3 linked regions of the Drosophila melanogaster genome follow. The protein of the gene in region 3 interacts with the protein of the main gene of each other region in a biochemical or structural test. Each region holds a gene or a part of one and is shown on either strand. Other genes may lie near its edges.

The links.
Region 1: the proteins of sli (region 3) and robo1 form a complex in vitro, tested with the Drosophila melanogaster proteins (2 studies listed by BioGRID).
Region 2: the proteins of sli (region 3) and robo2 form a complex in vitro, tested with the Drosophila melanogaster proteins (2 studies listed by BioGRID).

The regions. Positions count from the first base shown.
Region 1 is NT_033778.4:22,697,918-22,702,839, reverse strand, and holds the start of robo1 (roundabout 1), read left to right. Parts: upstream 1-1,869; 5' UTR 1,870-1,962; intron 1,963-2,244; exon of another isoform or gene 2,245-2,643; intron 2,644-2,805; 5' UTR 2,806-2,887; coding exon 2,888-3,038; intron 3,039-3,105; coding exon 3,106-3,227; intron 3,228-3,463; coding exon 3,464-3,644; intron 3,645-3,755; coding exon 3,756-3,874; intron 3,875-3,934; coding exon 3,935-4,388; intron 4,389-4,448; coding exon 4,449-4,922. Other genes in the region: Obp59a (Odorant-binding protein 59a), read right to left, coding at 1-123; CG30259 (uncharacterized protein), read left to right, coding at 336-914, 971-1,396.
Region 2 is NT_033779.5:1,417,401-1,422,194, reverse strand, and holds the start of robo2 (roundabout 2), read left to right. Parts: upstream 1-1,741; 5' UTR 1,742-2,029; coding exon 2,030-2,291; intron 2,292-4,794.
Region 3 is NT_033778.4:15,919,075-15,923,967, forward strand, and holds the start of sli (slit), read right to left. Parts: upstream 3,045-4,893; 5' UTR 2,565-3,044; intron 1-2,564. Other genes in the region: bdg (bedraggled), read right to left, coding at 4,109-4,637, 4,700-4,893.

The DNA.
Region 1 (4,922 bases), 6.8 Mb from region 3:
ACAGTTGCGCACAGTTCGCTTGAGCTCCGCTTCACTTAGTCCCTCCTGGGATCTGCATTTCAGTGCGTAAATGGAGCAGGTGCCGCAGCTCAAACAAATCAGCAGGAAAATCAACTGTTTCATCTTGGGAACTGAATGGAGGAGCAGCTATGCCCACATCATTTATAGTTCTGGAGAATGGCATCCAAATTACAGAGTGACTGACGCACAATGAACCAAGACACATATCAATCTTAATTTTACAATTGCGTGCAATGCTCTTCGATGATTATATTTTACAATAAAGGTTATTTTAAAAGTTTATGAAAACATGTTAAATTGAACCCCACTTCCAGATGCAACTACAGCTGGAGCAGATCACCTCCAGAGGTGAAGCTCGATTGGAGAAGCTGTGGCAGGAGTATCAGGGTGTTCTGGCGGGCTACTGTCAGCACATCGAAGGCTTTTACTCGGAGTACGTGGATCTGAAGCAGCGGGATGAGGAGGCAGCCCTCCAGATTAGCCAGCAGACCCACGAAATCGAGCACCTGGTAGACCAGCTGACCAATTTGCGTCTGGTCTCCGAGGAGTTCTACATCAAGCAACAGGGCCAACTGGAGCAGCGGCAAGCCATCAAACAGCAGTTGACCGAGCGACTAAGGGAGCTACGCACCTGTGTGGAACAGGAGGTGGCCAGGGATCACCAGTTGTTCAAGCTGATGTCCGTGGAGAGCTACCATGCCTTGGAATTCCTCCAGGAAACTGTGGCCAAGGGCGAGACTCTGGCACAGTTGTCTGCGGTCTGTGCCAAGATGGAAACCCAGCGGGAGCGGATGTTCCAGTTGCCGGAAATATCCAAGGAGATTATCGAGATTCGAGATATAGAGGATCAGGGTAATGGTTCCTTGACTGACCCAGCCACTGATCTTCTTAAGGTGAGTAAAAATGCCAGTAGGTAATTTCTTCATTCAACATTGGTTTAACGTACCAGGACGAGGTGGCAGTGGTACCCCAAATGGAGTCCTTCTGGCGACGCGTCAACAACGTGGCCGTGGACGTGGCCTGCCTGAAGCAACAGAAGCGTCGCCTGGAGGCGGAGAACAGCCAGCTAAAGACGCAGCTGCAGGACTACCTGGTAAATTTGAACATTGCCAATGGCTCCAATAGCCACGTCCATAGCTATCTAGCCCGGCGGCCCAAGAGCATGTCCGTGGACAGAGTGTCGCGCCTGCAGCTCCAGCCCAAGCTGGTGAAGAGTGCCCAGCCGACTGGTCGTCGCCCAGCGGCGCCCACACCTCCCACTTTCCACTTGCATCCAGGACGCAGCCGAGCGCCTGCCTTCGAAGCCAACCTCTCCAACGTGGTTCTTTCGAGGACTTTGGCTAGGGGAAAGATGAACCTGGCCAGAATGGAATAATTTGCTAGACTCTGTAGTTATTTGATTAATGCAGGGAAACTATATTAAACAAAACACCTTAAATTGGTGTAGGAACTATTCTCTACCATAACAATTATCTATATATTTTTATAGTATTTTACAGTTGGTTCTACCGTGAACATGAATATTAATATATACGTATTTAAGCAATCACACACAAATTATATAGATATTCTGAATAAAACGGAATTTTTTAATAAACCATTCAACATCACAATACATACATTAATTTAAATATTTACATTTTATTAATATCTTAAAACATAGTTGGTATATCTTTCGATTTCAATTTCAATACAATAGAAATCAATTAAAGATTCAAATAGTTACTTTACGCGGCGCTACCAGATCAACTGATAAATATGTCCTCTGGTATTTTCGAGTATTCCTTTTCGGTACACCCCAAAATATATCGATATATCGATTCCGGGCGTTGCGCTCTCAAATTTCCACAGACACGACCCACGTCCAATTGTGAGTTTTCGCTGCGCCGTGAATCGCACTAAAGAGCAGGAAAATAGTTAATTTCCAACAGTTAAATTGGAGTAAGTTTGCACCCAAGAAAGTACGATCCAACCGCGAAGCTTCCATTTGAAGTAGATACTCGTTTTCGGATATTACAAAGTGCAGCTGCTGCGGATGTAAAGCAAATATTACAAGGAGTTATAGATACAACACTCTGTTATAGATATAGATACAACAACAACGGGGGGAAGTCCCAGGAACGGCAGGCGGTGCGAGCGAGAGGCAGCTAGAACGGCAGTGTGTGCGAGTGAGAGGGGTGGCGGGGCAGTTCTTGTTCTTGTAATTTTACCAAAAAGAAATTTCGTTCGGGAAATGTGGAAAATGTGCGCGAGGAGAGATGATGGAGAAAACAACCCCGAAAAGCGAGCAATCGTCGAATAAATACCAACAAAAACTTACACTGCGCGGCTGATTAATAAAATCCAAAAAATAAAAAGGAAAATAAAAACCAAATCAGCGAACGATACAAAAAAAGCGTTAGAAAGAAAGTGTGAGAACGTGAAATCAAAACTCCGAATCAGAATTTGGATTGTAAATTTTCGGGTCGGTGCGACTGAGACTGAGCGATAAACACAAAGGCAGATAAATACGGAAATAAAATTAATGGAAAACCAGCATAGACACATGTGTGTGGGTGTGTGAGTGTCCAAGTGTGCGTGAGTGTGTGCGTGTGTGTGTGCTTATCGCATGGAAATGCAAGCGTAAGTGGAGCAGGCGAGAAATAATTTCGAGTTTTTGGACAGATAAAAAGCAAAAAGCAAGTAAAGCCCATAAATGCCTAGCCATAATGCCGCCACGCCTACATATGTAACAGCTGCCCACATTTAGTTAACCCACATACTATCACCTATCATGCATCGCAGGACCCAAAAACAACGCCAAAATGATCGCCGCTGCATTGGGTCATCTGTAGAGTCGTCATTGCAACAGCACCAACACCATAAAATGCATCCCATGCATCCCGAAAACCACGCCATCGCCCGGAGCACGAGCACCACTAATAACCCATCTCGCAGTCGGAGCAGCAGGATGTGGCTCCTGCCCGCCTGGCTGCTCCTCGTCCTGGTGGCCAGCAATGGCCTGCCAGCAGTCAGAGGTAAACCCATCCTGGGTAATCCTCCCCAGGCCCAGTGGCTAATCCACATCCTTCCTACTCCTTTCAGGCCAGTACCAATCGCCACGTATCATCGAGCATCCCACGGATCTGGTCGTTAAGAAGAATGAACCCGCCACGCTCAACTGCAAAGTGGAGGGCAAGCCGGAACCCACCATTGAGTGGTTTAAGGTACCCACCAAATAATACTTTTCTAACTTGAATCACCATTACACTGGCAAAAGAAAACTTGATCTTAATGTTTTCATATCAATATTGTATATTTATTTATCTTTAAATATCAAAACAAAAATGAATTCAAAAATTATACAAAATATAAGTGGTTTTGAGTAGTTGTTTTTTTCCGTGTAGCCTTCGAAACCGAACCAAATCGTAACTCAATCACCCCCTCTTCTTTCCGCTCTCAGGATGGCGAACCCGTCAGCACCAACGAAAAGAAATCGCACCGCGTCCAGTTCAAGGACGGCGCCCTCTTCTTCTACAGGACAATGCAGGGCAAGAAGGAACAGGACGGCGGAGAGTACTGGTGCGTGGCCAAGAACCGAGTGGGCCAGGCCGTTAGTCGCCATGCCTCGCTCCAGATAGCTGGTAAGTTAGTCCGCCACTCTAGTCTGCTCTCCAACTTGTCTGCCCACACGCCCAGCTTTGTCTCCGATTATAATGTGCTTTTTTGATATTTTTGCAATTTTTCTTCGCTAGTTTTGCGCGACGATTTTCGCGTGGAGCCCAAAGACACGCGAGTGGCCAAAGGCGAGACGGCTCTGCTGGAGTGTGGGCCGCCCAAAGGCATTCCAGAGCCAACGCTGATTTGGATAAAGGTGGGTTCCGAAAACCAGACTGCGAAAGTCAGTTGTCTAAACCGCTTTTTGTGCTCTTAGGACGGCGTTCCCTTGGACGACCTGAAAGCCATGTCGTTTGGCGCCAGCTCCCGCGTTCGAATTGTGGACGGTGGCAACCTGCTGATCAGCAATGTGGAGCCCATTGATGAGGGCAACTACAAGTGCATTGCCCAGAATCTGGTAGGCACCCGCGAGAGCAGCTATGCCAAGCTGATTGTCCAGGTCAAACCATACTTTATGAAGGAGCCCAAGGATCAGGTGATGCTCTACGGCCAGACAGCCACTTTCCACTGCTCAGTGGGCGGTGATCCGCCGCCGAAAGTGTTGTGGAAAAAGGAGGAGGGCAATATTCCGGTGTCCAGAGCGCGAATCCTTCACGACGAGAAAAGTTTAGAGATATCCAACATAACGCCCACCGATGAGGGCACCTATGTCTGCGAGGCACACAACAATGTCGGTCAGATCAGCGCTAGGGCTTCTCTTATAGTCCATGGTAAGATTAAGTTCCATTACCAAAGAATCGCGTTTTAATCTTCAATTGTTTTCATTAAAGCTCCGCCGAACTTTACGAAAAGACCCAGTAACAAGAAAGTGGGACTAAATGGTGTTGTCCAACTACCTTGCATGGCCTCCGGAAACCCACCGCCATCTGTTTTCTGGACCAAGGAAGGAGTATCCACTCTCATGTTCCCAAATAGTTCGCACGGGAGGCAGCATGTGGCTGCCGATGGAACTCTGCAGATTACGGATGTGCGGCAGGAAGACGAAGGCTACTATGTGTGTTCCGCTTTCAGTGTAGTCGATTCCTCTACAGTACGGGTTTTCCTGCAAGTCAGCTCGTTAGACGAGCGTCCACCTCCGATTATTCAAATCGGACCTGCCAATCAAACACTGCCCAAGGGATCAGTTGCTACTTTACCCTGTCGGGCCACCGGAAATCCCAGTCCCCGTATTAAGTGGTTCCACGATGGACATGCCGTACAAGCGGGCAATCGATACAGCATCATCCAAGGAAGCTCACTGAGAG
Region 2 (4,794 bases), on a different chromosome or scaffold from region 3:
CTTCTTGGCCCTCTGTTTTGGTAAGGTCATGGGTTGGCAGGTTTAATCGGGCCAGCTTAAGGAGTAAATATTTTGGGTGTTGCGGGCATAGATCAAAAATCCATGCTTGAATCCATCGGATAGTTAGCACATTGGATTTACTTTGGTAAGGTAAAGGACATAAGGTATCTATATATTATATATTATCGTATATACTTGCAGCGTTGCCCAACTTCACTTGAGTGCTAATGAAGCGTGGCAACCGGGCTCAGATATCTCGCCTTTCAAGCAGAGCAACTCGCCCTGGCTGTAAATTGGCCAATTATCAGCATTTGAAATATGGTTTACCTGCCACGAATTCTCTCTTTCCTCTACCTGGATTCTTCGCCTCTATAAAAGGTGAGCGGCAGTGGGAATCGGGATTCGAGAGTCGGGATCGGAGAATCGAAGAAACGAGGGACTTGAGAAGGCAACAAACTCACATACGCCGTACGCACTTTGACCTTTCTTTCTCGCAGAGACAATGCACATTGTGTTGCACTCTGAAAAGGGGAAGTGGAGGGGGAAAGGGAATCCACACCTGCCCGCTCCTAAATGCACGCATAGTTCCTTTATAGGAAAGATACACACCTTTATTTTACACTTCTCTGCCCGTCGAATGTATCTGTATCTGTATTTTCTGAGCACCGGCATTAATGAACTGACTTCACACTCGTCCGAAGAACTCTACCTGGAGGAAAAGTTATTGATTATTTAACAAACGCTGGGAAATTAGGCAGCGATTTATAGAGGAAAGCCCTTTCGGATATGCACTTTGATAAATTAATACAATATCGTCTAGCTGGCCATTCAATTGATTTCGAAATTCATTAGCGCGCAGAGGCGTCTAGATATTGGGACAGTGTCCAAGAACGGGTCTCCACTTTGATTTCTATTCATCGCATTGTGAAACGGATCGTCTAGAACTGTGTCTGGCTTTATTGCAGTTTGGAAATAGATGAGCTAACAGCTGGAGAGTGAGTGGGGCACTCGAGCAGATTAGATATGAAATGGTCGCCCCTTTGGAGGGGCTCTTTCGACTCTCTGCGCCGGCGAAGGGTTGAGCGGACACGGTGGAGCTGGAGGGCAATAAAGCGCAACAAGTAGGGATTATCCGAGCTCGAAATGTTTTCGGATTCGGATGGAAACTATTGAGGCTGAGCGGCACAAAGGTTGGCAATTTGTTGGCTTGACAACGTGAAAAAGAGCTTGAATGATCGAATAAAAATGGAAAAGAGCTGGAGATAAACAAGTTGGACTTGGAAATGGATGTGGCATGGTGTTAAAGTCCGTTTGAATGTAGATTTTTTTGTATTAGCAAATGATGCAGATTATTCATAAAAAAAGCCAATAAATACATGACTATGTGTTGTGCTGCAAAGAAATCCCCATCTAGTCCTGGAAGTCAGATACATATTCCAACAATTCACATCCACTCAATAGCAACATGATGATGCACCACCACCCGAAATGTTGCACGACTCGACGATAAACCTAGGGCACGTGGATCGAAACGAGTGAAGACGGAACAAAACAAACCGTCTTGCAGTAAAAGTAAACAAAGTTCCAACGCGTTCCACAGCATGCAACAAGCGGGACGAACTGGAACGCGGAACAGCGCACGAAGCGATACAGATACTAGATGGTACTCGGATACACAGACACGAAGCAGTAGCCGAAGTGGACTTCGGGTGGCGGCTCCGAGGCGAAACGAGAATTCGTTCCTCAGTCGCATTTCGATTGTCAGCCGGTTCGCATGTGCTGCGGATGCAGATACAGTCCATATATCCGTATCCGTTCGATTCGTCGGGTTACGCGCGTCGTCGTTCCGGGAAACGGACTTAGTGGCGCCGCCATGGATTCAGATGCTAGCGAATAACTAACTCGGAGGAACAGAAATACTGTGTGTGCCAAAACAGAAGATCCGAAAGATTGCGCGTATCGAGAAATGAGTGCAAATCTATTTTAAATGGTGTGCAATTAAGGAGGCGAAACGAGAATACTTGACAAAATGCATTTGTGCGAGATGCGTGGAATGCCGCTGCGGTTGCAACCTCAGTGTTTAACCAACGAAAGCGAAATTCAAATTAAAATCAAAAGCAAAATCAAAAATAAAACTGCCAGCGAGATCAAACGCCGACACAGAAACAATCGAGATTTTCATGGGGAGCGGCTAAAAATAATGCCAGTCGATCGGAGTCGACGCGCAGTATTCCCACTGCTGCTGCTCCTCGCGGGATTAAACGGATTAACTCAAGTCGGAGCGCTCAAGGGTAAGTGTCAACAGATGCAAGATGCGTCCATCTCCAGAGTTGCATTCGCAGGGTTGCATTGTGGGATCTCTGTTTTAGTTTGAAGGGCATTATGACAAACTATTTCCTCCCAGAGCCAGGGAAAATCCTTCGCGGCCGCATATGAGTTGCCTCCTCATGTCGCTGCACTCCCCATTTATTTATTAGCGTCATTTGTTTCCATTTACGTTTTTTTGTTGGTCGACTCCGTCTTTTGGCTATTTTTGGTTGCAACACACGCGGCCCGACCGAACAACAAAGTGAAATTAAGGCACTGCGGTTTATTTATGCCTGCAACGTTCGCTAATGGATTTTAAGGCCGCTTTATAGACAACGCGACATCGACTCTGCCCATAGACCCATTATTCATGCCTCTCTCTCCCGATTCTCATTAGAGATGCACATAATGGGGCGACTTTTGGATGGGCATAGCTGGATGTTTGGGCTTTGGCAGGGCATTGCAATCGGTATCGTAATTCCAGAGATCTCTCAGAAGTTCTCTGCAGGTTAGGGAAGGTTAAGAAGTATCTATTAGTATGGATACTTTTAAGAACAATGCTGCTAATTCCTCATTATTCCTTATCACCACATAACGAACACCAAAAAACAAATGCTAACCCACTGAACCCACTTAGGGATCACATTTGGGAAAACTAAATACAACTTCCAAAGAATACACAGATCGTATTACACATCGAACCCGAGAAAAGTGAAAAAAAAATGCATATGTGGAAACTCAGTTGGATGAGGGTAAATCGAAACACAGAAATTGTAAACCCCTTAGGGAGGATCTCGGGAAAGATCACTAACCAAAACCAAAACCGAACTTTAGATAAATGAGTAATGAGTTCGAAAGACTAATCAACCGAGTGTAGTTTCCCGCTCCAATCTCGCAACTGATTACAGGAAAATCAAACAAAGAATCGAGTTTGTGGCTTTTGTGGTCGAGATGGCAAGTTCAAAAAGAAAACTAAAGCGAAATGGTTTGAGGTTGGCGGTTTAAGGAATGGGAGTTAAGCAACGCTTTTAAATTAGACCCTTTGGCGATTTCATGGCTCTATACCTCCGCCGATAAAACATATATCTAAATGAGCTTAAGTCGTCACACCCCTTGCAACGCTGAGAATGTTGTAATCTAATGCTTATTAAACGCTTTTTAATGCCAAACCAACGACGCCCAGTCCACTGATATCGTCCATGGACACACGCAACTCGGATTCGGATTGGGATTGGGATTTTTGAATTCGGATTTCAGTAAACACTTGAACACGCAACCTGAGGCTGTGTGTTGCAGCACCAAGTATCTGTATCTCAGTGTCCCCATCCCGAAATGGCCGATGTGACGTGGCAAGTGTTGCACGCGACGTCGCCCGTTTGATATAATAAATTGTATAAAATTATCTGCACCGGCACACGACAGGATTTTGTTCCTCACTTCTGGTGGTGTGTGACCAGCGAGATCCAGTTAGCAGCCCAGCTTTTGGGTGGTGGGTCAATCGCAGTCGGCTTGAGAATCTGTCGGGGTCATAAAAATTATCGCCCTCAACACAAAGTTGCAGGGTTGACAGCCTTGGCAACCTTCTAATGCCACTCTGGGGAGCGTTTTTCCAGCTAACTGGACTGACTGCACTTCTTTCTGTTTTTTTTTTTTTTTTTTTCGTTTTGACTCCGGGGGTGGCAGTCTATCCTTTCCTTTGTCTTGGCCGTTTATGTTGGCATTTTTTGTGTTTTTGTGTTTTTTTTTTTTGGGTGCCCGCCTGGCAAAAGCCTTTCGGCTCTTGTGCAATTTTCTCATGTGCATTATGCGAAAATTGGGCTAAGTAGCGGTCTCTGGCTTAGTTTTCCTACTTTCCCGGGCGAAAGAAATGAAGTCAAGTGCTGTGGCAGCTCCGTAGCATGTTATTTGTTCAATCACATGATTGCCCTACCAATCGCCCGGCACTCAACGAGATCTCCCATTTGCTCCCAGCTGCAGGCTAGATAATGAGGGGTCTTATGGGATAGTATCCATGCCATAGCTAGCACCGATACGTTGGCACACAGTTTGGGGCAGGAATGTGATTGAAAGTCGGGCCAATGTGGGTGGAGGTGTTGCAAGTCGACTGGCGAAAGGTCTAGCGGATAGCGACGTACTTCTAGGAATATTCGAAAATACGGACTAGGACGGGAGTGATAGGTTTTCAGTAATATGTAGTTTTACTTCTAATAAAAAAATCAATTTGGATCGAATTCCTTAGAAAACACATAGCCACTCCTTGGGGAAAAGTATTTACTTCTAATTGCAACTAGCCGTGGCTTCAGTACGCCTTTCCTAAGAGCATTCGATCTCCAGTCGACTATTTGCCAGCCAAACAATAATTAATTATTTAAAACAACAGGCTTACGACGACGGCCAGAACCCAGAACGCAGAGCCCAGAGAGACATCGGTCTGGAAGTCTGGAAGTTTGAATGGCTGAAAGGCGACTTGGACATGGTCAGCTGGGT
Region 3 (4,893 bases):
AACCCTAATTCCTCTGAAAAACCCAAAAAGACACGTCGAAGACGAGATAAACACAAACAAAACACTTGGCACCCAGCCGGGAAGGGGGCGTGGCTGGGGGCGCAGCCATCGGAGTGTGTAATCAACACTTTTATGTGATCCCCAATCCAATTCACAACTAATTACCAAAGCATCGATGGAATAGGAATAGGAATAGGAATTGGATTTGGATTTGGAATTGGCCTAGGGCATCGCTACATCGGCATGAAAATGTTGAAGGTATGGGGAGGGTTGGGGAATGGCATTTGGATTTCGATTGGGCATGGAAATGGAAATGAAATTGGGTGGCTCTCGCAATTAACGCTGGCATTAAAATCAGCCCAACGATTCCGTTTCCAATTATTTATTACACTTTCTGGTGCCTTTTATGCTGCTGCTTCTGCTGCGCTGTGCAGTTTGTTTAAACAAAATCAATCTAAATCGATTGCGCTACATTTGGAAAATAGAGACGTAAATCAATGGGCAGGCGACGGAGATGGAGGTGGGTCTGACCAGCCAACCAGGGACTACCAGAGATTAAAGGGCCCTCGGCGTGGCGATAACAAAGTGGTTTGTCCGCTGGAAATTAAGGCAAGCTGCGCCAAGTGAAGGTGCCGCGGGCAATGCCACCAAAAGAGGCAAGTACGTGTGCGTACTCTAAGTACATACACTGGAATTTACAGGGTATCGAAAGGTATGTACGATGGAGGAAAGGAATGTTTAACGGCTAATTTATAATCTTTGCTTCTCTAGGTCATAAAAATAAGTAATTAGACCACACGCCATATAAAATATGAATGGCCTTTTAGTATTTTTATAAATATGAAAATACAGGTAAATAGCTAGGCGAAAGAATACCATATATATAAATATCCTTTTGTTAGGACTTCATTTGCGTCACATCACCATCTGTTTAGTAACGTGAAATCCACAAAGGAAATAAGTTCTTAATTTATGCCGCCCCAATAACTTCATACATTACATCCATTAGTAACCAAAAACAAATCCGAATGGATTGACACAAGTCAAGAGTATCGATTAAAATGCTTTTATTGGAGCAAACAACAAAGGTTATTGAAAGTTATAACGGAAAGTTGTCGCGACTTAACTTCTGGCATGTGCACCTTTTATGATAATGTCATTGCGTATATGCCCCCGCCCACACTGTACAGAGGATATCGGTTAGTCGTGACTCCCGATCCCACGCTCCCTCCTCCTCAAGTGTTTATTTACACTTGTCTTATTTCTTGTTTGGAGTCTTTGGCGTGGTATCTTCTTCATTTTTTTGGTTTTTTTTTTTGTTTTAAGTAAGCGATTAGTGGCGGGAGACAATGAAAATTTGTCACTTGACAAGGCAAAAACAAAACGATTTCCATTTGCCCGACGACAAATGAGACATAAGGCAGGCACATAAGTGGATCCCAATTCTGCCCCTTAAATGCCAATGTATTGGAAGTAACAGCCAAATCAACAAAACAATCGTCTTGAGAGGACGTATGTGTGGGATGGAATGGTTCGGGATGGTATCGTATCGTATGGTATGGTATGGTATGGGATGAATCGGAAGCCCGCCCGCACACGCACTCGATGATTGTTATTAGTACATTTGCTGTGGAGTATATCTAATTTGCCATTGATGTGTGCATTAAGTTTGTACTGGGCGGCATACGGCATAGGAATTGTCGTAAAGCATTAGTGTCCCCCGAGATTAGAGCGAATGGAGGAGATAGGCCGAGGTGGAAAGGGGCCATGGCGGAAAAAGGCTGGCTCATCGCCCTTTTATTTGACATTGGGCAATATTTATTGCGAACTCATTTCAATGCTGGCAGAAACTAGGAAGAAAAGCTGACAGCGAAAAATGTACAGTGAAACCAGAATACCCTGGGCTCAGAAAATGTTACTATAAATACTAATGGGAAACCAAAGATGTTGTGGTTCTAATTGATGACATAATAAGATTATGTACATGAACTTATATATTTTTCAATTAGCAATTTGAAGGGGACTTTATACATTTAAAAATCAAATCACCTACGTAAGTGTAATATTTTTCATGTGACTGAGGCACACGATAGTTCCTTCTAGCCAGATGCGACTGTAGAAGGATAGCGCAGGCGACAGGATACGCAATACGAACAAAGCGGAATGGCAAAATACGCCATCAAAATAAATAAAAACAGGAGAAAACAGAACTGAGCGAAGGCGAAAACAAATTCGGTAGCACAGCATTCGGGGCTTTGGGCGGGAAAGAGATAGAACGAGGGGAGGGTTATACGTTACACTTCAACGTTACCGTTACGTCCCACCCAAAATGTAATGAAATCCTTTGTGTGCGTGTGCTTACGTGTCGGTGCGTGTATGTGTGTGTGTGTACGTTTTTGTTTGTCAACTTTGGCGAGGCGGGACATAAAAATGCTAATACAAAACACTAGAGCAAATTGCAGCAAAATAAGTTGTGAGTGGCGGCGGTGGAGGTGTGTGAGTGGCGAGCGAACTTGGCACCAGCTAACTAACTTTGCACGCAGGATTATCGCAAGGACACTTACCGTTTTAATCAGGCGAAAACACCGCTAATCCAATCGTAATCGTAACACCCACACAGACAAAGAAACAAAACACTAACACAACAAAGACACTAATTTTCGGCACTTTGCAGACGGAATTTAAATTCGACTTTTGCGCTTTTCTGCTGCTGCGATTTGTGCTTCAATTCGATTCGATGCGATTCGCGCAGACAAACGAAATTCAGGAATTTCAAGTGGAAATCTCGTTTGAGCACTTTTCGACCTGCGACTTACGAAGACGGCGCGGCAGAAAACTTTGGCCTTAACTTGGCTTTAAAATGGCCGTGCAAATGTGGATTGGCTAAGAACGCGCGACTTCAATTGCCAATGCACACTTTATGGTTTTTGCTTAAGTTTGGCAATTGCAAATTCTTTGCTCACCGGAATCTTCACTCTTGGTTTATACTATAATTCTTTTTGGACGCTCTACGCGACGCGATTGAAAGTGATGCGTGCGTCTGACCGCTCTCGTCGCCGTTCGAATTTTTTATGTTTCTGTTTCGCTGCCGAGCAGTGTTACCAGATGCAGGAGTAACCTCACCCGGCAAGAAGGGCCTAAAAAATACCGCGTTCGCCAACAGTTTAAAAGTTTCTTGTTCCAACTTAAATTTCAAATATTATGGTTAATAAGGGTCCAAAAACTCGTTCATTATTAAAGTGTTGATAATATTTTCATGAAAATATATATTTATTTAAAACTTTATAACTATCATCCCAAATTATAGAGTAGTTGTACTACACACATTGGCTTGTATAAGAACCCTTATCACTTGCTTTTATATAGGTCTCAATTGTTATTTATGTATTTCTAGCATTAAAATTACTAATTATAAGTAAAAATAACGGTATCAATTATTGTGTGAACTTCACAAAAGTTCTAGCCGAGACTCAACCCATTTGAACTGGTTCTTTGAACCAGCGCTGCCAGATATTAAAATAATAACCGCCAATTCGTGCTGATTTAAAAATTCCGCGGATTAACTTTTTTGCAGGCCAATCCCTTTGGAATATGCAAGTCACAAAGAAAACAAAAGAAATGGCGTGACATTTTAATCGAAATATGCAGCAACTTCCTGGCCCGCCTCATTAGGCGCCTTTGTTGGCTACGCCATCCTGGACTTCCGTTTATTTTCACTTTTTTTATTCAACTGGTCACGTTTGTTAATCGGCTTAGGGCCCAAGTACGTATTCCCTTAAATAGCTGACCCTCGAGAGCTGGGCACGTAGGAGGCCTACTCCATTGTTGGGATAATTTTAAGGGCAACTGTGCAGACAGGCGCGATCCGTAAGCCTAAAATATATGTGAAATGGAATTAAATGGGGTGGGTTGGATCGAACTGGGAATACCGGTTGTAGGGATCAAAAGAGCTCACACTTGGGAGTACCAACTAGTTGTTTTCGTTATTATTCGCATAACTACAAGGTAATATTCGTATTTAGATAACTAGCGCTAATCAAGTCTAAGAAAGCAAGCGGATATGTGGATCGCATAAGAGTTACGCTATGTACGGTACGATATTAGTCAGTTAAATCACAGATGTATTATTTCGCGCGCACTCCTCCGCCTGTCCAGCCTCCAATTCGAGCTCCAGCTCCACACCGGGCGTTCTGTCCGGTGGCTCGGCATTCAGCACAAGATTCTCTATGGATCGGAATGAGGCGTCCTCCAAGTGCGTGGACATGGCGGCGGTTGGGGGGCGAGGCAGGGTGCTGGCAGTGACCAAATTTCCGCCTCCCTGCGACTGGCGATGTCGCACCGAGGAGCGCAGTATGGTCACCACATCCTCCGCCGTATAGGGCCGCCTCTCCAGTGTCGAAGCACCCGAACGATGCAGTTTCCTGCCCAACGATTGCGAGCGTTGGGAGTAGCCAACGGGTCGCTGGTCGATCTCTATGGACTCGGGACTGCTGCTGGAAGCTGGCGAAGGATCCGCGTTGAAACTACTGCCAGCCGGATTGGTCAGTATGGTTAGGTAATCAGGCGGCGCCGCTGGCGAAGCAGACTCCGCATCGAGGGAGAGCACGGGTCGCGTTCGACTTGAGTCTCCGAGAACCCTGTGTCGATAAATTGGTCGTAAATAACTTTTTGTTTATATTAAGGGATGGTTTTTATGTACCTTCTTACGCTGCGGCGAATGCTCTGGCGCAGAAGCTTGGCAAGGCGGGCTCCAGTGGCCGTTGTGTAGGACGGAGGTGGTGTGTACTTTGGCGGAGCATCGTTCTGTGCATCGTGTTGGCCGCCCTCCGTGGTCTGGCCCAAAGCATTACGACGACTTTGGGACGCCGTTTGTCGAGCGGATGGACGACGCGG